4 linked regions of the Drosophila melanogaster genome follow. The protein of the gene in region 4 interacts with the protein of the main gene of each other region in a pairwise test. Each region holds a gene or a part of one and is shown on either strand. Other genes may lie near its edges. The genes, in order: GstD1, wal, Not10 and barc.

What was found.
Region 1: the proteins of barc (region 4) and GstD1 interact in a two-hybrid assay, tested with the Drosophila melanogaster proteins (one large-scale study listed by BioGRID).
Region 2: the proteins of barc (region 4) and wal interact in a two-hybrid assay, tested with the Drosophila melanogaster proteins (one large-scale study listed by BioGRID).
Region 3: the proteins of barc (region 4) and Not10 interact in a two-hybrid assay, tested with the Drosophila melanogaster proteins (one large-scale study listed by BioGRID).

What each region holds. Positions count from the first base shown.
Region 1 is NT_033777.3:12,366,852-12,371,463, forward strand, and holds GstD1 (glutathione S transferase D1), read right to left. Parts: upstream 2,418-4,612; 5' UTR 2,352-2,417; intron 1,743-2,351; exon of another isoform or gene 1,725-1,742; 5' UTR 1,721-1,724; coding exon 1,091-1,720; 3' UTR 966-1,090; downstream 1-965. Other genes in the region: GstD9 (glutathione S transferase D9), read right to left, coding at 1-46. UniProt on the Drosophila melanogaster protein: Conjugation of reduced glutathione to a wide number of exogenous and endogenous hydrophobic electrophiles. Has DDT dehydrochlorinase activity. May be involved in detoxification.
Region 2 is NT_033778.4:11,687,472-11,692,707, forward strand, and holds wal (walrus), read right to left. Parts: upstream 3,393-5,236; 5' UTR 3,342-3,392; intron 3,274-3,341; 5' UTR 3,249-3,273; coding exon 3,207-3,248; intron 3,116-3,206; coding exon 2,975-3,115; intron 2,418-2,974; coding exon 1,608-2,417; 3' UTR 1,098-1,607; downstream 1-1,097. Other genes in the region: buffy, read left to right, coding at 1-265, 342-488, 549-857, 919-1,086; CG13197 (uncharacterized protein), read left to right, coding at 3,919-3,941, 4,029-4,104, 4,497-4,696, 5,028-5,074.
Region 3 is NT_033777.3:12,627,996-12,633,902, forward strand, and holds Not10 (CCR4-NOT transcription complex subunit 10), read left to right. Parts: upstream 1-2,651; 5' UTR 2,652-2,719; coding exon 2,720-2,808; intron 2,809-2,882; coding exon 2,883-3,638; intron 3,639-3,698; coding exon 3,699-4,026; intron 4,027-4,122; coding exon 4,123-4,181; intron 4,182-4,239; coding exon 4,240-4,590; intron 4,591-4,655; coding exon 4,656-4,980; 3' UTR 4,981-5,193; downstream 5,194-5,907. Other genes in the region: Snx3 (sorting nexin 3), read left to right, coding at 349-525, 894-989, 1,227-1,457; CG18530 (uncharacterized protein), read left to right, coding at 5,364-5,426, 5,487-5,907. UniProt on the Drosophila melanogaster protein: Component of the CCR4-NOT complex which is one of the major cellular mRNA deadenylases and is linked to various cellular processes including bulk mRNA degradation, miRNA-mediated repression, translational repression during translational initiation and general transcription regulation.
Region 4 is NT_037436.4:21,430,135-21,435,778, reverse strand, and holds the start of barc (barricade), read left to right. Parts: upstream 1-2,644; 5' UTR 2,645-2,785; coding exon of another isoform or gene 2,786-2,913; 5' UTR 2,914-2,924; exon of another isoform or gene 2,925-2,939; intron 2,940-2,974; coding exon of another isoform or gene 2,975-5,629; intron 5,630-5,644. Other genes in the region: Aef1 (adult enhancer factor 1), read right to left, coding at 1-559; CG33288 (uncharacterized protein), read right to left, coding at 2,786-2,913, 2,975-5,629.

The sequences.
Region 1 (4,612 bases), on a different chromosome or scaffold from region 4:
TGGAACGGCAAGGTGCCGAGTAGAGCATATAGTAGAAGTCCAACATGATTACTCGCTGAGCTGTAAAATCATACTGAATTAGTTTACGTCAAATTGTCCTTATATACTGTTGTTCCCTTCAACGATGGCTAGATTAGACTTAACGAGACAGCTTTCATTGGAATGTTTGTTTGTTTGTATAATTGTATCAAATTGCATTGGATATTTTTCTTAGAATTTCGTGATATATCGACTCTACCCGCTCAGATGTTTACATTTCAGATCATATTTTGTTTTTAAAACTAAAGTTAAAGTTATTGGTGGCGCAAGACACAAAAAAAAATTATTGAGAAAACATGGTCGTTAATGCACCTTGGAATGCACATAATGCACCCATTTTGATAAAAGCTTATTGAGACAGTTAAACATTCTCTCAGAAAAATAACATAAATATCTACAAACTGTGTTTTTATTAAAAATGGTGCCCATAATATATAAAATATGTCGAGATTTGCTTCCTTTTAAATGAATAATTTAACTTGGTAATTTTCCACTTTGTTATCTACCGTTAAAAGCTTTTTGAAGAACAAGAAATTACAAGAGCTGCCTTTCTGATGAAAATTTCAGAACCAAAACGAAATTCACTCTAAGTTTCTAATCTATTTCACCAATGAATTTAAGTCTGATAATTTCTCACTTTTTCCTTACAGATTTTCAAGCTTCTTTTTTGAGGCCTTCACCACATAAAACTAACGAGCATCGCGAAAATATTCTATCTTTTATTATCTTTTTTTGTTTGCCTCTCGATTCGGAGAGATTTAGCAAAAGAGGAAAGAGAATCACCCCTGGCATCAAAGAGAAAATAACGAGCATCAAGAGAGCCCACTTATTCAATTGCAGTCCCTATCCACAATATCCACTATCCACATACACATAGTAATATATGTAAATGTACACCCATCTAAAAACAAACTCATTTGTATTTTGTGCATTCAAAAAAAAGAACACTTATTTATTGTCTTTGGAGACAGGCGAATTTGGAATTGTTGTTTGTGAACGTGAATATAAATACTACATCATATGTACGGGTATAAAAACGTGAATATCAGGCTTATTCGAAGTACTTCTTGAACTCCAGGCATCCGGCCCAGTTCTCCTCCCATCCGGGAGTCACCTTCTTGGCGTTCTCGTACCACCTGTTCACATTGGCGTACTTGCTGATCTCGAATTTGGCCACCTCGAATGTGGACACGGTTGCCACCAGGGCAATGTCGGCTACGGTAAGGGAGTCACCGGCGGCGTAGTCCTGTCCCTCCAGGAAGGTGTTCAGGAACTCGAAGGCGGCCTCGATCTTCTTGAAGGCCTCTGGATCGGCGGGCGCCTTGGCGAACACCTGTGGGTAGTAGTAGTTGGCGAAGCTCTGGTACAGCGTTCCCATGTCGAAGTACAGGCGCTGATTGATCACGGCGCGCTTCTTGGGGCACTTAGGGTACAGGGAGTCGGTCTTGCCGTACTTCTCCACCAAATACACCTGGATGGCGCGGGACTCCCACAGCGCGAATCCGTTGTCCACCAGCGTGGGAATGGTGTGCTGGGGATTGATCTTCAGGAACTCCGGCTTCAGGTGCTCACCGGCCTGCAGGTTGAGCAGCTTCTTGTTCAGCTCGACGCCCACGGCCTTGGCGGTCATGATCACGGAGCGGCAGGGGGAGGAGCCGGGCAGGTAGTAGAAGTCAACCATTTTACTGTAGAAGTTCGAAGAACTATCATTTAGTTACAGTGCTCGCAATAAATAATTTGTAGCCAACTTGTTAAGAAATATTATTATCTTCGCTAATTTCTAACCAACGGTTATTTAAAAGCTTAGGGCATTCATTTGTATTTCTAATTTGGGTTTTAAATGGAAGAAGAATCAAGTTGAAAAGAAACTGAAAACAATTGTGAGTCCGCCATATTTGATTGGAGTGAACAAATCTCCAACTTCTTTTCAAATTTAGATGTGAGCACCAAACTTTTTCAAGCATATCCACAAGCGTCGCATTCATATTTAAATTAACAATCTCCCCCTTCTTGAGACCCAAATTGCTTCTGTATTATACACATTATCCATATGGCATGCAAACAGAATAGATCTGGATGCTAGAAAGATATGCCACAATTAGACGCGCTCTATAATTACAAGTTCAGCAAAAGCGGACTTTAATTGGGCCGCCATTACAGAAGTTCACTTGGCTATGATGTCATATCGGGGCTATAATACGTTCAAATGTTGGTAATTTTCCATGCTGCCAATATTTCCTTTTATTTTTGACCAAACACAGGCACACAATCACAAAACACAATATATATAGAAATTGCTGTGGGGAACTTACATTTTTTTCTTCTGTTGTGAAACTCGCGATGTACACTGTATCAAATGAAAAGTAGCACTGAACGGAATTCGAAGAGCGAGCCCACTTTTATAGGGGCCGGCTGTGGTCGCCACAATGCCGGCAAACAAGAGTTGTAGCTTGAAGCGCCCCGCGGGGCGTGGCAAGGTGGGGAGAGAGGTACAGAGAGAGAGAGAGGGGGCTGCTAGTTGTTGTCGTGCCTGGGTTTTTTTTTTGTCTTCTATTATATTCTGACTTGCCCACACATACCCACTAATGGCGGGCAAAAATGTGACGTTAGCGGCGTGATTAATACACTGTTGTGTGGCCATGGGTGTGTGGAGACGATTGATAGTGTGTGTGTGCGTGCTCTGGAGGAGGTTGCACTCTATCCGTTCCCTCATACACCTCCACCATACCCCCGCAAAAGAAAGCTGCAACTTTCTAATGATCCTCCATTGGAACGAAGCCTTTTACTCGCTTAAGAACAAATTTTGTTACATTTCTTTATAATTTCTGATTTTAACAAACAGATAACAAAGAAGATACAATCCTGCCATACAGGTATTATTAATCGTAGGGTATTTACACATCGACTTGCTAAGATTAGCAAACACATAAGCATGCAATCGATTAGCTTGAAACACAATTTTGCATTTCTAATGAACATCTGTGCGCCTGAAAAAACATAAATTCTTTTAAAATGCAAAAAAAAATAAGTACAAACAAATAAGCAGGCAAACAGAAACCAGATAAGAATTCAAGCCGGCCGGCAAACATTGATATCAGGCAAACATATATGTATGTATGTACATATGTACATATATAGCAACAGTTGTCGAGTATTTCCAACACACAAGCAAATCGCGAAAGGCTCATACCGTACTAATAAGACCATAAAAATATAACCGTTTTTCGAATTATTCAATATACTTTGACTCATAGTAATAATTTTAATGGGTAAGCCCAAGCTATGGTAGACAAATAGTAGTAGATTAAATGATGAGTCAAAGGCACATGCAAATTCGAAATTACTGGTACACATTTTCAATGTAACAATATGGATGGGCTTAGTCCATATATCGATCGACTTTTATTGTTTGTGTTTGTTATGACGGCCTTGGGTTTTAATAAGTAATTGCTGTGACCATATAACATGAAAAGGAATACTAGACTTTCATTTCTTGGAAGTATTTGATACTATCAAAGGCGAACACTTGAATATTCCTGCTACACTTCGCTGGGGGTATTTAATTTCCCCAAAACAAATTCGCTTTTATCAGTTTCACAATTCGCAATACCAACTATCAGCATGACCGGGCAAAAAAATTCAATAACAAGTAGGAAAAAATGGAAAGAGCATTTTCGTGGGCGACACGTCAAACAAATTGCGCTCTTAACGTCGAGAACAATCCACAAAACGATTGTGAAATCAAAAATTCCGAACCCCAAGTTCCGAGAGTTACTCATTTGAACATAATGCCGAAATCCAGCTGAATCATGGGAAACACGAGATCGTAAGTATAAGTTCGCCAATAACTGGTTGGGTTAATTCACCAAAAAGCCGGCCCAAAAGGTAGCGTAAAATGTAGAGAAAGGTCACTGTGTTTGCCACTGCAGATCAAAAAAACCAGTTGGACGGCATTGCCAAATGTGCGTCACAGGAAAATAAAGTGAAAAGCGCAAACTATTTAAAGAGCAAAGCCAAAGAGAATGGATAGGACGAAGAGCCCCAATAATCTCTTACCTCCACATCATCGAGATCTTCTGCCGGCCTCCCATATGAGCACATTTAGCCTACATACATCTACTTTCTCGATTCCGTTTGCCGGTGATTCGCTTTGTGTACAGCTGCGCTGATCTTTCTCCGATCTCCGCTTTAGAATACATATTATACCATAAAACTGAATATGTTCAAGTTTAGATTGATATATAAAAAAGTAATAAATTATTATTATTAAATTTATGAAGATCTGGGGTGTGTCCACATGTACTCTTACTTCCATATGACGGCTTGAACATACTTTTGAACATATTTTTCGAAATGTCAACAAAAAATGTTGAAAATTTTTCCTGTTCTTCCACTTGTTTTCTCTTGTTCTTATTGAAGTTTGATTTTTAACATTTAAAAAACCTTCGTATGCATTTGATTTAATGAATCCTCTTTGTTTTAATTATTTTGCTCGGAGCACTATAAAAACAGAAATTAAAATATCGATATATTTATATATAAACATATAATATAATATGATTACCATATCCGT
Region 2 (5,236 bases), on a different chromosome or scaffold from region 4:
CTCGTATCCCACGAATAACGATAATTTCAGCAACGGATTTCCGATGGCCACCACACAAAGTGAGCGCCTCTTGCAGGCCCAGAATCGAAGAAAGTTCAGTTTTCCAGCCACACTACATTCCGCATCACTACTGGAGGTTGGTGGTGGTCCCAAGGAGACCACGAGGCGTAGGTTGAGTAATGTCAGCGATGCCGTCACCAGGAAACTCTCCTACACGATTGGCTGGAAGGCGGCACAGATTCCAGCGCAGGATATCATTTCTCAGGTGAGCTGGTAGACGAGGAATTCCTTGCACAAACATATAATATCGCCTGATTCCAAAAATCATAAAAAAACCGAAGGGTCGTTGCCTGTGCGGTCATTATATCAAGAGACGCCTCAGAAGATCTGGTTTGTTCAACAAAAAGCTGGGACTGCAGCGCATACGTAGCATACTGGGCTCCACCTCCATGGGCATTGTGCGCGATGTGTTTCCAGCGGTCCAAGTGGTAAGCAAAAAATAACGCTTTATTTTATTATATTAATCATTTTACACACCTTTGCCCAAGCTGGGCGATGAACTGGAGCGCATGCATCCCCGGATATACAACGGAGTAGCTCGTCAGATTTGCCGGAATCCGGGTGGTGAGTTCCATACTCCGGATGCTGTGAGCTTGCTTTTGGGAGCCGTTGGTCGCGAGCTCTTCCGGGTGGAGATTACGTGGAGCAAGGTGATCTCTCTGTTCGCCATCGCCGGTGGGCTGTCCGTTGATTGTGTACGCCAAGGACATCCGGAATACTTGCCCAAGTTGATGGAGAGCGTTTCCGAGGTGATCGAAGATGAGCTGGTTCCGTGGATTAACGAGAATGGTGGTTGGGTGAGTTTCTCCGATCATTTCATAATTGTCGAGGTTTCATTTCAATGATTTTCCATTTTAGAGTGGCATCAACACACACGTTTTACCCACTACCAACAGCCTGAATCCTTTAGAGTGGACCACTTTGGTTATAGGCGTAGTTTTTGGCCTAATTCTAGTTTTTATGATTCTGCGATTTATATTTAACTTGATTGTACCAAAAATATACCAACGATTTACGAATTCCTAAACATTTTGTTTATTAAGCGTAAAAATCCTATTGATTTGATCTATAATCTTTTTTTGTACACAGTTTTCACATTTTCACACTTTTTAAAAAAGTTCGCAATTGGCGAGAAAGCTTTTTGATGCTTTTAGCTACAATTTGTTTTGGCTTGATCAGCTTTCTAGTATAACTAATTTAATTAATAAAGCTCTCATAAAAGCTTCTTGAAAAATAAATATACGATGGGAAACTGATAAGGAAACCAAATCCTAGACTAGGTGCAATCTGCAATGCCAGTAAACAGTTTATCCTAGTTGAATTTTGGTTATTGCTAGCCCTGGGCCTTTTTTAAATATTTTGCTGATTTAAACAGTTGCACTCAACTGATAAGACTACAATTTTCACATAGAATAGGTCTTCGGCTTGTTTTATTACAAAATTTAAGGGAAAATCTTCCACGGACTTATGTCAAAATTCAAATAAATGCAACAGTTATCAATTCATCGGTACACAATCTTTATACTACAGCAAGTGACAATCTCGCCTTACAACTTTCCGGTTAGTTCGGGCACGGCCTTGAAAAGATCTGCCACGATGCCAATATCGGCGACCTGGAAGATGGGCGCTTCGGGATCCTTGTTGATGGCCACAATCGTCTTGGAGTCCTTCATGCCAGCCAAGTGCTGGATGGCGCCTGAGATTCCGACAGCGATGTACAGCTCGGGAGCCACAATCTTGCCGGTCTGACCGATCTGCAGATCATTGGGCACAAATCCAGCATCCACGGCAGCACGAGAGGCACCCACAGCGGCACCAAACTTATCGGCCAGATCATACAGCAGCTTGAAGTTATCTCCGGACTTCAGGCCCCGTCCTCCGGACACAATAACCTTGGCTCCGGCCAGCTCGGGGCGATCGGACTTGGTCAGCTCCTGGGATACAAATTCGGACAGGCTGCTGGCGAAGTCACCAGCTGGTGCCTGCTCCACGGCTCCACTTCCACCGCTGGTGGCTGCCGGTGGGAAATTGGTGCTCCTTACGGTGATCACCTTAACGGCGTCCTTGGATTTCAGGGTGAGGATAGCATTTCCGGCGTAGATAGTGCGCACAAAGGTGTCGTCCGACTTAACATCGATGATCTCCGAAATGGGCGACACATCCAGCTTGGCCGCCACGCGTGGCAGCACGTTTTTGCCGAAAGCCGAAGCTCCGGCCAGGATGTGGGTGAACTTGAACTGAGACTGGGCGGCCAGGACCAATGGGGTCAGCGACTCCGCGGTAAATCCGTTGAAGGCGGCATTTTCGGCCACCAGAACCTTGGTCACGCCATCCACCTTGGAAAGAGCCTCGGAAGCCTGGAAAACAAGAGAGTGATTATGTAAGATTATCTATCGCACCAAATACTTATGATCAGTGGGAGTCGCTCTTGGGTGGTTCGATGCTTTATAATTTAAATGTCTTGGTATTTTAAAATGGTCATCTATTGAAATCACTTTGCTCGGCATTTTTGAAATATGGTTACTATATATTGTATCTAAGTAAGGGTTCACCAATCCAAAATCAAAACATTTTTTTCTAAATTTTTAGTTAGTTTTAATCTAGTATGAAAATTGGAAAACTGGAATGTAGCAAGAGTTAAGTGGAAAATAGATTGGACCCTTTTTAAAGTGTACTTATAGTCAGAAGTATATAATCAAGGTTAACAATTCCTATCTCTTAGATGCAGTATTACCAACAACTCAAAAGTCTTGTTTTCTAATGAGATATGTTTATATAATCCTGTGCCGGTTTGATTTCTACCAGATCGCAAAGGTCTTAGGATGCATGTTCAGCCTATTTGATTAGATTCGTTGATGATTCGAAATCCCTGCGAATGGAACCACCCTAATGTGAGACTTCTTGGGGGACTTACGGGTCCGCATTTTGTGCCTGCCACCAGAACTGTGACGTCACCACCGATCTTCTTGGCCGCAGAGATGGTGTTCAGGGTGATCGGATTGAGTACCTCATTGTTGTGCTCAGCCACCACCAAAGTGCTCTTGCATCGCTGCAACTGCAAGTGGGAAAATTGATATTTTGTTATTTAATTTTTAGCGATCACCGCCTGCGCTTTTTTTTTATCTTTTTAAGAAATTTCCACTCACAATGCTGCTGCGCATAAGATTACGCGTGTTGCTGGCGAACATTTTGGATGTTGGATGGTTATTGGAGCTATCCACGCGAGGGAAAATTGTTGTTTGATTAATTTAAGTCCATTAATATTTAATTAAAACTCTTACCTTCGCTGTAAAATCACAGAAAGTCCAAAGGTTTCCGCTGATTTAAGCGTTTGCCGTTTTTTGGTACCTCCTAGCCAATACACAACAGCTGTTACTTAACAGATGGAGCAACAGATCTATGTGAACTTTAAGCAGCAGGAACTTAAGTGAAAAAATGAACATATATAAAATATAATCTTGGAATTATTGATTAATGGACTTATTTAATTTAATTTTATTATCCATTTAAAAAAATATGCAAGCCGATTAATATTACTAGTCATAAATTTGTAAAAGAGCTTAATGAAGAATGAAGTATTAAAAAAATTACATTTATTATTAAATAGAAACATTAAATATAGATTATAAATGTTATTACTTCAGTTAAAGAGCGAATGAGCGAGAGTTTTAAAAATAATCGTGACCAGTCACAGTTTAGCTAACAGTGTCAACTCAGCAGCATATGTTGAGTAATCTCTTAAAGTAATCTGGCAACACTGGAATAAGAATTATTTCTTTGCAAAACATTGTCAACAATTTTGAAGAACTTCGAAATTTTATTTTTAAATTTCGGTAAAAGGTTTGGCGAACAGACAAAATGGTCAAGGACATACCAGACAGGTGAGTGCAGTTTAGGAGAATATCCCAAAGAAACCCGTGTTGTTTATGCTGGTCATTTTTTCATGTTACTTTTTGTACCAATTGCAGATGGCTGAAGTACAAACCGATTGGAGATCGTGTTCCTGGCACTCGTTTCATAGCCTTTAAGGTGCCGCTGAATCAGGTGAGTTCCCGATGATCCTCCGCCCGCCCAGTGGCGTACCACACTCCATCCGAGATCCAAGAAACCGGTTGACAGGAGAGCCGCCAATTGATGGATGTTGAAAACCCAGGATCTGGACCACCGACTGAGCGGCCCTCTAAAAATATAAATAACAACGAACGACGACGAAATTTGTGCATTGTAATTATGCATAAAAGTGGCAACTGGAACATGGACCCCACATGAATATTAAATTAAATTGTTTTTGCTTAATTAAATAACGCCACGGATCCACGGCCTTTATTAATTGCCAGCCCTCCGGGCATTTTGCATAAATTGAGCAATCTATGGCCGCCCATTGTAATGCCCTCGTATATTTGCTCAGCTCCCTTCTTTTTTTTTATCTTTTGCAGCATGTCAACGCCAAAGTGAAGGAGAATCTTCGGCTGGCGCCCGAATCCCTTCTGCAGATCGTACCCGATATGGGTCTCATCATCGATTTGACCAACACGAATCGATACTACCACCCAAGTGCCATAACCAACCACGATGTGCTCCACCAGAAGCTGATGATCCCCGGAAAACAGACACCCTCGCATAAGCTAGCCCAAAGGTAATTATGAATTTAAGCAACTATTAATAGGAAAATTTATTAGCTCTGGTTCGAAAATGTTGTAATTTTGGAACATGGTTTGGATAAGTCTTCATCTTCTTATTATAAGAACTATATTGTAGGCAATGTTCCTAATAATTACAATATTAATAATATTATTAATATCGTTAGTTGGATCGTTTTAATGCTCGCATAAATGTGGTTTTGCAATATGCATTATTTTAATTTTGCTTTGTTTTTGGAATGAAATGAAAAGAAATTCTAATTTGTTATTCAATCCAAGATATTACCAATTCATGTAATGATCCATCTCTTTCCTATGTCATTGCAGATTCTGTGCTTTCGTGACTGACTTCCTTGAAAGGAACGCGGATAATGGTGAGTGCTGACAATTCATCCCACACATCATGATCTTTGGGCGCACGCTGCCGTGGGAAACGCTTTCCCGTCGACAATGCAGATTCAGATGCATATCTGTCCACGCAATTAGGTCCGCAAAATATGCAAACAAATCGTATCAAAGGGGGCACCCGCAATTAC
Region 3 (5,907 bases), on a different chromosome or scaffold from region 4:
CATATCGCCGTATGTTATCGATAAATTTGGAAGCATTGATTTGTACCACCCCTACTGTTAACTCACACAGCACAGTTCTGTTAATTATTGGAAAGTTTTTTAATGGAACAAATTTAATTAAATTACAAAAGTTGTTTACCCGCTGCGGCACTTGGACACCCAGAAAGTAAAACAAAGCAGTGCTCGGGGACAGCAATTGAATAGTACCAGAATCCGGGACATCGGAGGCAGCGAGCCGCGACAAAGAAGTGCACAAAGAGAGATAGCCAGTGCAAAACCCGTTTCTTCCAACCGATAAAAGGGGCGTCTATAGCTCTGCCGATCCGGAGCCCCTGGCATTGCACCACTATGATGGTTGAGTCCGATGGAACCGCCGACGCCACCCGCCGCCTAAACGTGAAGAAGCAAACACTGGACGATGCGTACGCCGTGCCCGCCAACTTCCTGGAGATCGACGTGGTCAATCCGCTGACCACCATGGCGGCGGGCAAGAAGCGCTACACGGACTACGAGGTCCGGATGCGGGTGAGTGATCGTAGTACATGTACATGGGGGCACCACCTATGCACCTTCCAAAATTCACCGAAAAAACCATTGATAATCGCTGGAATTCGCTCACACACTTGTGTGCATGTGTTCGTGCGACTTTGTCTCGCTGTGCATGTGTGTGTGCGTGCGTGTGTGTGTGTGTGTGTGTGTGTGAGTGCGGGTGATACGCCTATAAAGCGAGCCGGCCGATAAACATTAGTCACAAGTGCAGAGCACTGATTCCAGTGTCACGGCTTGAGTCACGGAAATGCGGCATGCGGGTGCCTTTATGCGGCACCGACCTTTCATTGAATTACTCTATAAGATTGGCCACCACATATGATTAACCATCGCTCCTTTTTTAGACCAATCTGCCCGTCTTTAAGGTAAAGGAGTCCAGTGTCAGGCGACGCTACAGCGACTTTGAGTGGCTGCGAAACGAGCTGGAGCGGGATAGCAAGGTACGGACAAGTGTGATCCAGGCGGTAGTCTTTCGTTTTCACTTTAATAGATTCAAAATCCGCACTATTCAGAATCTATTTAGATAGAATTACGAAACAATACATTGTAATTATAAGAAGCCACTAGAAAAGTTTCAATCCTTAAGAGGAAACTTAACCCTGAGTTTTATAAGTGAAAACGGAAACTTCGATAAGCGCCTGAAGAGTATTTAATCATGAACATACATATCCCCGCAGATTGTGGTGCCACCACTCCCAGGAAAGGCATGGAAGCGGCAGATGCCCTTCCGCGGCGACGAGGGCATCTTTGACGAAAGCTTCATCGAGGAGCGGCGCAAGGGACTGGAGGCCTTCATCAACAAGATAGCCGGACATCCGCTGGCGCAGAACGAGCGCTGCCTGCATATGTTCCTGCAGGAGAATGTCATAGATAAGAACTACGTGCCCGGCAAGATTCGGAACACATAAGCAGCTTAGTCCGGCGCAATCGAAACCCCCTAACCATAGCAATGCAATGAAGCAAAAACTCGAACGAACAAACCTGCTACGAAATCTTTATGGGAAGCCGTGTGAATGTGTGTGCTTGCCCGGATTGGAGGAGGATGGAGCAGATGAGCGATGATGTAGGTTGGTGGAGAAGGGATCTGTTATGCGACGCGATACGAGGCGGGAAGTGCTGCTGCTCAGTTAATGTTGAGCCCCTCTCAGCCCCCGGGGATTAGTTAAAAACCAGCATTGGGAATTTTTAATGCTAAATTCAAGTTTATATGGTATACATAACAATATACATACACATATATATATATTATACACAATACACATATTTACGAATAGTGTACATAAGACATGCCTACTACGCCCTCGCTAAATGAGTCTCGAAAGTAGGAGCTGCCCCTCCCATTTTCCCGATCCTCAGTTTCTTCGTTTTGAACCATTGCAGCGGTAATGAAGCAGCAAATAAAATAAGGGAGCCATCCTGACCCCAAAATCGATCCCTTGTAAGTGTATGCAAATTATTGAATATTTTGAAACAGTTTAGTGAATAATATTGTACTTCGAATCAAATTAAAATAATTCAAAAATATTGAACTGCTGATATTATTTGAATGTGCTTGAAAATGATGCGCAACTGAAGATTAAGTTGAGTTTTGTATAAAATATTAGCCTTTTTCCTAGCCAATTCTGCGGGATGGAAGTTTGTTCTTCAACTGGTCGATGTTGAATCTATGTAGTTCCCATCATATAAACCAGGCGAGGATTAATAACAATATGATGAAACAGGAAACTTCGATTGAATGCAAGGATAATTACAGTTGGGTGGGTAGGTGGATCAAAAATTGTAAACGATAAATGGATATTTTATTATTCTAAATATTATATATCATCACAAACAAAAGTCTCAGTTGAAATAAAGGTATAGGTTTCGCGCGCTGCAAATCTAGACTAGTGATGTGCTGCCACCTATCGACAGCAAAATGCCAATTTGACCATTGTAAAGTTAAAATTTTATATAGAATATATTTTAATTTGTTCATATTAACAATTTAATTTTTAATTAATAAATTAACAAGAAATTTAACAAGTTGTTTAATGTTAAGAATTAACTTATTTATTAATAAGGTTAACCGCTTTAGTTACGGTTAAAAGTGGCAACGCTGTGCTTGTTGATTCTGGCAACGCTGTGTCATCTGTGGATTGGTTCGGTTTTTTTGTTTTTATTTATTTTTGGCATGGACTCGGCGGAATCCCCCACCAAAACGCAGGCCGGCGAGGACGAGAACTACAGTCTGCTGTGCCAGGCGCACGAGCAGTTCAACAAGTGAGTGTTCATCCGCGTGTCACCGGGAAGTGCACCCATAACCGCCACTCCTTTCCGGCTGCTCCTCATTCTAGCTCGGAGTTTGATCGCTGCTTGGAACTGCTCCAGGAGTTGGAGACGCGCGGCGAGAGCAGTGGTCCTGTCCTGCGGCACAACCGGGCGGTGGTCAGCTACTACAAAACCGGGTGCACCCAACACTCCGTCCTGCTGAAAGAACTGGAGGCTCTAACCGCCGATGCAGATGCGCCCGGAGACGTGTCCAGCGGGCTGAGCCTTAAGCAGGGAGCTGCCGCCGCCACTGTTGCTCGTTACAACCGGGCGGTCATCTATTATCACCGCCATATGTTCGGCACGGCACTGGAGAAACTAGCACCACTAGTGGCTCGTCTGGAAGCCCTGGAGAAGGCAATGGCAGCGCTGGTGGCCACACTACAGCTACAGCTGCTGCTGGCCACCAATCAACTAAACCGAGCCGAGGCCTTTCTGGATTACTTGCAGTACAAGCTTAACCTGGTGGCCACAGCGCCTAGCAGCAATGCGGCCGAAGAGGCAGCTGTTGTCGGCACAGCACCTCCGTCAGCAGCGACGAACAGTTCAGTGGTGGCCTCACCAGGAGGAGCAGCTGTGGAGGGAGCTGTGCCCGGTCTGGGCGGTAGTCTGCAGCTCTTGCAGCTAATAACGCTCGTGCTTAACCGAAAACCGGTGGTTATTCAGGAAGACGGCACGCCGGAGTACGCTGCTCTGAAGGCTCAGCAGTACTACATCATGAAGGATTTTCAGATGGCCGCCAAGCAGCTTATGCGAATCAATAACGAGTGTACACAAGCGGGGTGAGTCTGCTTCATTTTAAGTTCAAAGAAGACATACTATTTTATTGTCTATCTTAATAGCACTATAACCCCCCAGCTGAGCACGTGCATTGCCAACAATATGGGAGTGATACACTTAAGAGTGCGTCACTATGCCATCGCCGCCAAGTTCTTCCAAAATGCGCTCAACTTTGACCAGCAGCTGGCGCGAAATTTGCGCCAGAGTACGCTGCAAACCATGAGTTCGGCACGGTCCTGCGAGATCCTTTACAACCTCGGTGTGGCCATGTTGCACCTACGACGCCCCAAGGAGGCGTTTCAGTGCTTTCTGGTTCCCGTTAAGCAATTCCACAGCAATCCACGTCTTTGGCTGCGCATGGCTGAGGCCTGCATCATGGAGCATGAGGCGGTAAGACAACTTTACACTAACATGTTCTAGTACAATAGAGTCACAATAGGGTATTTATTTGTCTTAAATCTCAAATTATTTTATTTTGTTTTAAAGAAACTAGTGGAGGAGGAGCGCCAGTCGCAGTCAGAAACGCCATCAACAAAGCCATACGCGTAAGTGCTAATTCGTTAGCTTAGTTCATTGCTGGTAGTAAACTTTTCCTAATTTTAGTCCTCAATCGGCGGGAGTTCCAGAGCCCACGCTGGAATTCGCTGTCTTGTGTCTACGTAGCGCGTTAACGCTTACGCAGCACTACAAGACGAGGTTTCACATGGCGGCGGTCTCCTCGGAGGATGTGGAAGCACCCGAACCCAAGGACCCAACTCAGGAGAGTTGGCGTCATCCCCAGGACAATAACTTCTGCAATCCCTCGAAGCCAGTCAGCCTAGAGTCTTTGGAAAACATGATGGCTGCCATATATGCTGCTCACAGCTTCGTCTCGCTGCGCCTAGGCGATCATGTGACCGCGCTCGAGATGTCGGAAAAACTGCTGGCCTGTGAACGCTTGTCCGATGCACACAAGTACAATACAGTTTCTATTTAATCTTCCCATGTTTGGTTTAACATATTTACCTTTTTTTCTTCAGATTGCTAGGTCACATGTACGCTGGCGAGGCGTTGATGCTTATGGACAAGGCCAGCGAGGCACGCGACCATTTGGACCCTACTTTTGTGGGCACACTAAACGCCTTCGATTTTGAGACGCGTGACTGGCAACTGAAGTCGGTGGACGCCGCTCAGAACGTTGTGCGGTATAATCTGGCCGTTGCCATGGCTCTACAGAACGACCTGCCTCAAGCTAAAGCACTCCTGGCCAATTTAACTCATTCGCTGGTTGCCAACAAGGCGCTTGCTTTGCGACGCTTCATGGACCTCAAAATGGGTCCCGTTCCTGGCGGGACGCCGAGTTAGACAACAAATTGTGTATATAACTAGACGGAATTAAAGTGCAAGAATGAAATGACGAGGAAGCGAACTATTTGTTTGACGATCATCAGTTTTTCAGCATTTTACAGGGTGCAAACAAGGTGTATAAAACAATGTCTGTTAACTAATCCATATGTGCTTATATATTTGTACACAGAGAATTGGTGTTGGCAATAGCAAATTATCTCACAATATTTTACGTTGAACTTTTGCATACTCCAGTCATTGAGACTTTTTCATAGGAATTCTACAAATTAGATTACCCTCTACGTTAAAGCGTTGGACACTTAAATTTTAAGTATCTATCTCAGGAATTTTAAAAGTTGGGTCAGAATTATTTTGACTTGTGCAAGTTACTCTTACTCGAAATGCCGTATAAAACGCTTGTCATTCTGAGTGTCTGTACTCAAATAGTCAATGGAATAACTTCTGTAAGTGCTTTTTAGTCGATAATTATAGCTATAGGCAAGTGCTACGCTCTCTTTTCCAAGGCCGAAATCATAGCCTCGCACAACTATCCGGTGGAAATTCACACAGTGGTCACACGAGATGGGTATTTACTCAACGCGTTCCGCATACCGAACTCAATCTATTGCGAGCAATCTGGAACAAAGCCGGCGGTTCTCTTCCAGCACGGAATGACCGCCTCCTCGGATGTTTTCCTAGTGAATGGACCTCGGGATGCATTGCCATTCATGTTGGCCGACGCCTGCTTTGACGTTTGGCTGAGTAACTCGCGGGGCACTCGGTATTCCCGACGCCACGTGTCTTTGGATCCCTCCGATGAGGACTTCTGGCGCTTCAGCTGGCACGAGATTGGAACGGAGGACGTGGCCGCTTTCATTGACTACATTCTGGGCACCACAAATCAAAGTGCGGTGCACTACGTGGGTCACTCACAGGGATGCACCA
Region 4 (5,644 bases):
TGCAGTGGAAAGGTTTCTCCGGCTCGCGGACAGCTCCCCCTACGCCAACGGCAGCGTTGCCCTCTCCGGGATGCTCGCTATGTCCATTGGCCAGGTAATGCTCACTGTGGATCGTTGTCGGACTATGCGTGGTCAGGTGCGTCAGATGTGAAGTTGGTGGCGGCGGTTGCTGTTGTTCCGCCGCAGCAGCTTGGGCTGCTGCAGCTTGGGCAGCTGCCATAGCCGCTGCTTGGGCGGCACTATGCGCCTCCGCCGAGATCCCGCTTAAGTGCATCTGGAAGGGCAAGGGGAGTTCCGTGGGTGGCGGCGGCACAGAGGGTGGTCCGCTCGACTGCTGTTGCTGCTGCTGATGATGTTGCTGCTGCTGTTGCTGTTGTTGTTGCTGCTGCTGTTGAACCGCCGCCATGTGAGCCGGATGCGTGGCCTGGGTGACCGTCTCATTGTTATTATTGTTTGCTATGGTGGTTTGGGGCTGGGCGGCCACTATGACAATGTCGCAGTTACTGCTCATCGCCGTAGCAGCGGCATGGGCATGGGGCAGGCTTTTGATATGCATCATGGACTGCTCTTGCTGGGATTAGGTAGTCTGGATTCGGGATTCGAAGCTGGATTTGAATCTGGTGGAATAGTGGAGGGAGACTGCGGTACCTCGGTGACTTGAACAGAAAGCTGGCTAACAAACTAAGATCGATGCTTCAAAAATGCCACGACATGCTCATCTTGGGCGCTTCTCTGATGTTGTTGCTGCTAGTGCCTGTGTTTGGAGAAGGGAGATTGGGATTAGTTGAGTCGGCGGCTTGGCTTTTTGGTATGCAAAAATATGTGAGGAATTCCCAAAACATACGAAATACCTAACTGCGAAATTATAAATCTAAATTATTCAATAGCTGACACACTTTGATAGCTGGGCTCCCGGCTCCAGCTCCACTTCCTCCCCTTGAAGCCCCCTTTCCATATGGTTCCTATGGTTCTTTGTGTGCCCTTATTAGTGAAACGCATTGAAGCCCATTTTGTGTCCTAACTAGCATATTACTCCTTCGTCTCCTTTAGGCAAGCCTCTCTACATAAATAAGTATTTGGAACTACACGGCTTACATATCCATACATGTTTGTAAGGAGGTAACTGGCTTACTTTACGGTGTGAAACTATGTTTTAAATCATTCAGGTATAATGATTAACGTATTAAGCGTTCAAAGCAATATTCTTGCGAGAGTAAATATTTTCGGGCTTTATAACATTTATTAAAGAGCCATACTAATATTAAACTCACAAACAAACTGTGATGAGTAATTTTTAAATAAGATCCATAACGGATGACCGAATCCTTAAAAGATTTTTATGACTTCGATGGTATGAAAACTTCGAATATACGTCAAAGAGCATAAATTATTAAACATACGATTGATTATGCATTTTGAAACAAAATAAAACGCGCGCTGCTTGCATGCATGTAACTTTTAATATATTTTTTGAACGCTGGTTTTTACGTTCGCCGGACAAGTTACCTGACCCGCCCCCTGCTCACCCACCAGACAAGATAGACACTGAGGCCAACACAACACGCACACACATGGAGCACTCAGGTATCTCTCTTTTTGTGTTGAATTGACAGCGTGTTACTTTCTCGCCAAATTACATGTGTTTTTCTGGCAACTTAAGAACTTAGTGATAACTTTACCAATTGGATAACAATCTCAACGGAGGCGAGATCGACAGGATTCCGAACTGACCTTTTTTGGGCGGGCTTTTTGGGGGATATTTTCCCCTTTTTTCAAAAGCAGTTTTTCCACTAACACGTTGCCTCTAGATCGCCCCTCGCGCTCCCTTCTTCAGCTAAAAGTCACAACCACTTTCAGTCGCACACACGTATGGACATCACTAGCGCACACACGTACACGTACTGTGTAAAAGCTCTTTTGAGGTTAGGATACTTTTAATTTTGGAGCTCTCCGCTCGAAAATGTCCATTGTTTTTCACACGTCTATAAACGCTATTTTTGCCAAATGATTCCAGACGGAATTGGGTATACTGAGTGACACACTTGAACTCTTTTCGGGCGCCCACACATTGACCTACCTTTCCATTTTGTGGCTGTGCTGTGTGGGGCCTTTCAGGTTTAGATTTCCCCCGTTTTACATCATTTTTCGCACTCGATTCGGTTTTTTGGGGGATATGGGCCTTTCGGAGGGTGTTCGCGTATTGCTCTCGCCTATCAGAATCGGGTCCTCACAGCATTATCTGTGGCTGGTTCTTCATTTATAAAAAGCGTATAAACGTTAGAAAAATAGTACAAATATTTCTTTTCTTTTTTTTACTGTTTCGCGTACAAAATAGACGCGAATGAACTAGTGCCAATTGGGGATGGGCGATAGCTATGGGGGACCTGTTACTGATCACGAGTGTGAAGGAATCACGATGACTGCCCCGAACTCAATGGGAAAGTTGGTATAAGAGATCAAATTTGGGAAAATTCTCAGATTTATTTAGGCCAGCACATCTTTATAATTATTTTTTTTCCCACCATATTAATATAAAATCATTTTCTAATGTGACTTCTCGTGAATATCGAATTGCCATCTCTATGCTAAATGAGCTAGTTCCACTGAAGTCATTCACATAGGAATATGTAAGTTTTCTTTCGTTTTTGAGAGGTTTTCCTCCCGCCACAGTACGGTCACACTGCCCGGTGCAGAACTTTTGTATAGGAATTTCGTTTGCATTATTTTTTATTAAATTGTACTTAAAGACCAAATGCAATTGCTCAGAAAAGTGCAGGTGCAAGTTTTATAAAATCGTGCAGACCCGCGAAGCCTGCGACTGATCACCATGTGCCTGCCCATTGGTTAAACTCAGCTCGCTGTTAACTTTGTTTGTGTTTTTGTTGTGACTTCCAGCCGGCGGACGCAGTTCATCTATTTGGAAGGTAAGCAGAATTTAGGTAAGTATATACTGAAGGACTATACTGAAAGGTACCTTCGATCCTGACCGCTTTTTCGTTACGGCACGAGAGCCTGTCCATCACCTGCTTCACGAATCCCTTAGCATCTTCCTCCTTCTGCTGGGCCACAGCTTGAATATGGGAATTTGCCCTCAGTTGCATGGCCCGAATGTCATCCTGCATCGCCTTCTTACTGCGCTCCACCACTGCATCTAGAGGGTCTTCAAAGGTAGTGCTTGGCTCGAAGATGTTGCCATTACCATTGCCATGTCCTGCAGAATTGTGGTTTGAGTTTACAGAGGCCGTTGTTCGTTCATCCTCCTCGTTGGAACCCAACGTTGTGGTGGTCTTTGGTGCCCCCTCTTTGAAGGACAAGTCATCCTCGCCGCGAGGTGTGGAACATGGCGTGGTCTGTGGATCAGCCTCCCTCGCCGCTTTTATCTGAAACAATGAGGAGATGTTTTCCTTGGCGCCCAGTACTTCAGTAGAGATCTTGCTGGTCACCGAATCCATAGCCCTGCCCATCGAATCTTTTGTTTCCGAGGCTGCTTTGACCGCATTACTGCCCGCCTGCTCCACTGCATGCATTGCACTACTTCCTACTTGTTCCACTGCGTGCATTGCATCGCTGGCCAACCGATGGGCACCTTTACCCGCCGCTCCTACTGCTCCTCCCACGGTATCCACGGCTCCTCGAGCTCCAGTAGCCATTCGCTCGCCTACAGCTTCCATGGCATCACGAGCTCCATTTGCTGCATTTTTTACCGCTGTTTGAATCGAGTTACGAGTGGAGTCCATGACATCTATCGCGTCTTCGCCGACTTTGGACACCGCCTCCTCAGAGCTCGTCACAATTTTGTCAACTTGCTCCTCACCACGCTGCATTTTTTGCTCTCCATCTGATTCCAGATCCTCCACGGAGCTCTCCAGTGGTGTATCTGGCATTTGTTCCTCTACCCTGGACGTCACATCCACTCCGTCGTTTATGAACCGTATTTCGTTGATCACTTTGCTGCTGTCCGTTGAGTCCTTCGTTGTGGTTATTTCCACGGCCAGGTGCTCATCGTCTTCCGTGGGCGGTGTTGGTGTGTTCACGTGAATTTTGGCCGTAGGTACTTCCTCCACTGTGTCCAGACTAGAGACCAGTTCGGGAGAAGTCCTCTCCAGATGGTCATGGTCCATGGCAGACTCGTATGAAAAGTTTCGTATAGGCGTCTTTTTTATTGTCTGCGGTGTGCTAGAATTACTGCTCTCGGGATAAGGCGTGCGTGGGCGTAAAAGTGTTTCCTGGCTGCCAGGCACTTTCGGCTTGGGATCAACTAATTCCATATCGTGTGCGGATTTATTCGACCTTAAAGATTCTGTGGGGGAGTTGGGAGGGGTTGGTGTATGTGTAGGAGGAGTGGGTAGCTTCTGCATCGATTCCGTAGGCTTCACAGGAGATGAGCTTGATTTTATTGAAGATTCAATGGTTTTAGCTGGTGAGCGTTTTGTTTTCACAGGGGAAACGATTGGTTTTAGTGATGATTCTTTTGTATCCGCTGTTATAACGGGGGACTCTATAGTTGCCGATGGCTTCATCTCTTTATATCCATCATTTGTTTTGATTGCTTCACTTGTGGCAGCTGTGTTCGGACTGTGAACTGATTTCTCTTGATCTGCTGCGCTTTCATTTTTGTTTCCGGGTGTAACCCGATCTGCAATTTGATTATCTTCCTCTTTTTCAGAAATATTTGAGTTTGGACCTATTTCATCACTACCCTTTGCTTCCTTGTGTTCTTTAGGTATAATGTCTGCACTTTCGATATTTGCATTCAAGTCTTGGTAACGAGTTAAATCTGACTTCTCTTCTGGTTTCTCACCATTAATTAAATGTTTCACTGCCTCCATGGCCGCCGCTGTTCCGGCTCCTGCTGCAGCTGCCAATTCTCCCACAGTAGTCGACATTGATAGATCCTCAGTTTCCTCCATGCCCTCTTGTTTGATAAGGCTTCTTCCGCTGTGTGTCCTTGTATCCTCTTTGTTTCCATTGGCATCAGTCGGCTGCAACACAAAACTACGGTTCACGTAGCGATTTGGTTCAGCTGATCCATTTACAGATGCAGACGACATCGAGGAACGCGGTATGCCCTGCACCAGGACGTGTTGATCCCCCACTGCGATGTCCAATAGTCGCAGGTTTTTAAACTTGGAAATTTCACGGAAGGTCTTCAAATGATGGCCGCTCTCCGAGAACGTAGTAAAGAACTTGTTGGCCTTGCTGAGAACCGCATAGAACGAGAATCCTTTAAGGAGCTTCCAGATGGGTCCGTTTTCCTCGCAGTCGTAGTCATAGAAACGTTGGAAGACCAGACTCTTGTTCCGCAGCGACTCGAAGCTGCGATAGATGCTGCCCGCATTTGTAACAATGTACACCTCGCTGGTCTTGGAAATGTGCATAAAGATGATGGCCTCGGTGGGCGGCAGATTTTTCTGCAGCTCAGTGAAGCGCGGAAAGACGAACTCATTGAGGTGACCGGTGAGAAAGAGGTTCCCGGTGGCAGTCAAAACTAGCGTGGACTCCGGCCCGCAGGTAAACTGCTGCACCGGTGCATCAAGACGAATCTCTACCGGATGACCATCGTAGTCTGCCTCTAGTTCTCCTAACTGCAGCTGGGCATTGGAGCCACAACCGATCAAACGACCAGTGGCTTTAAAAGAGAAAT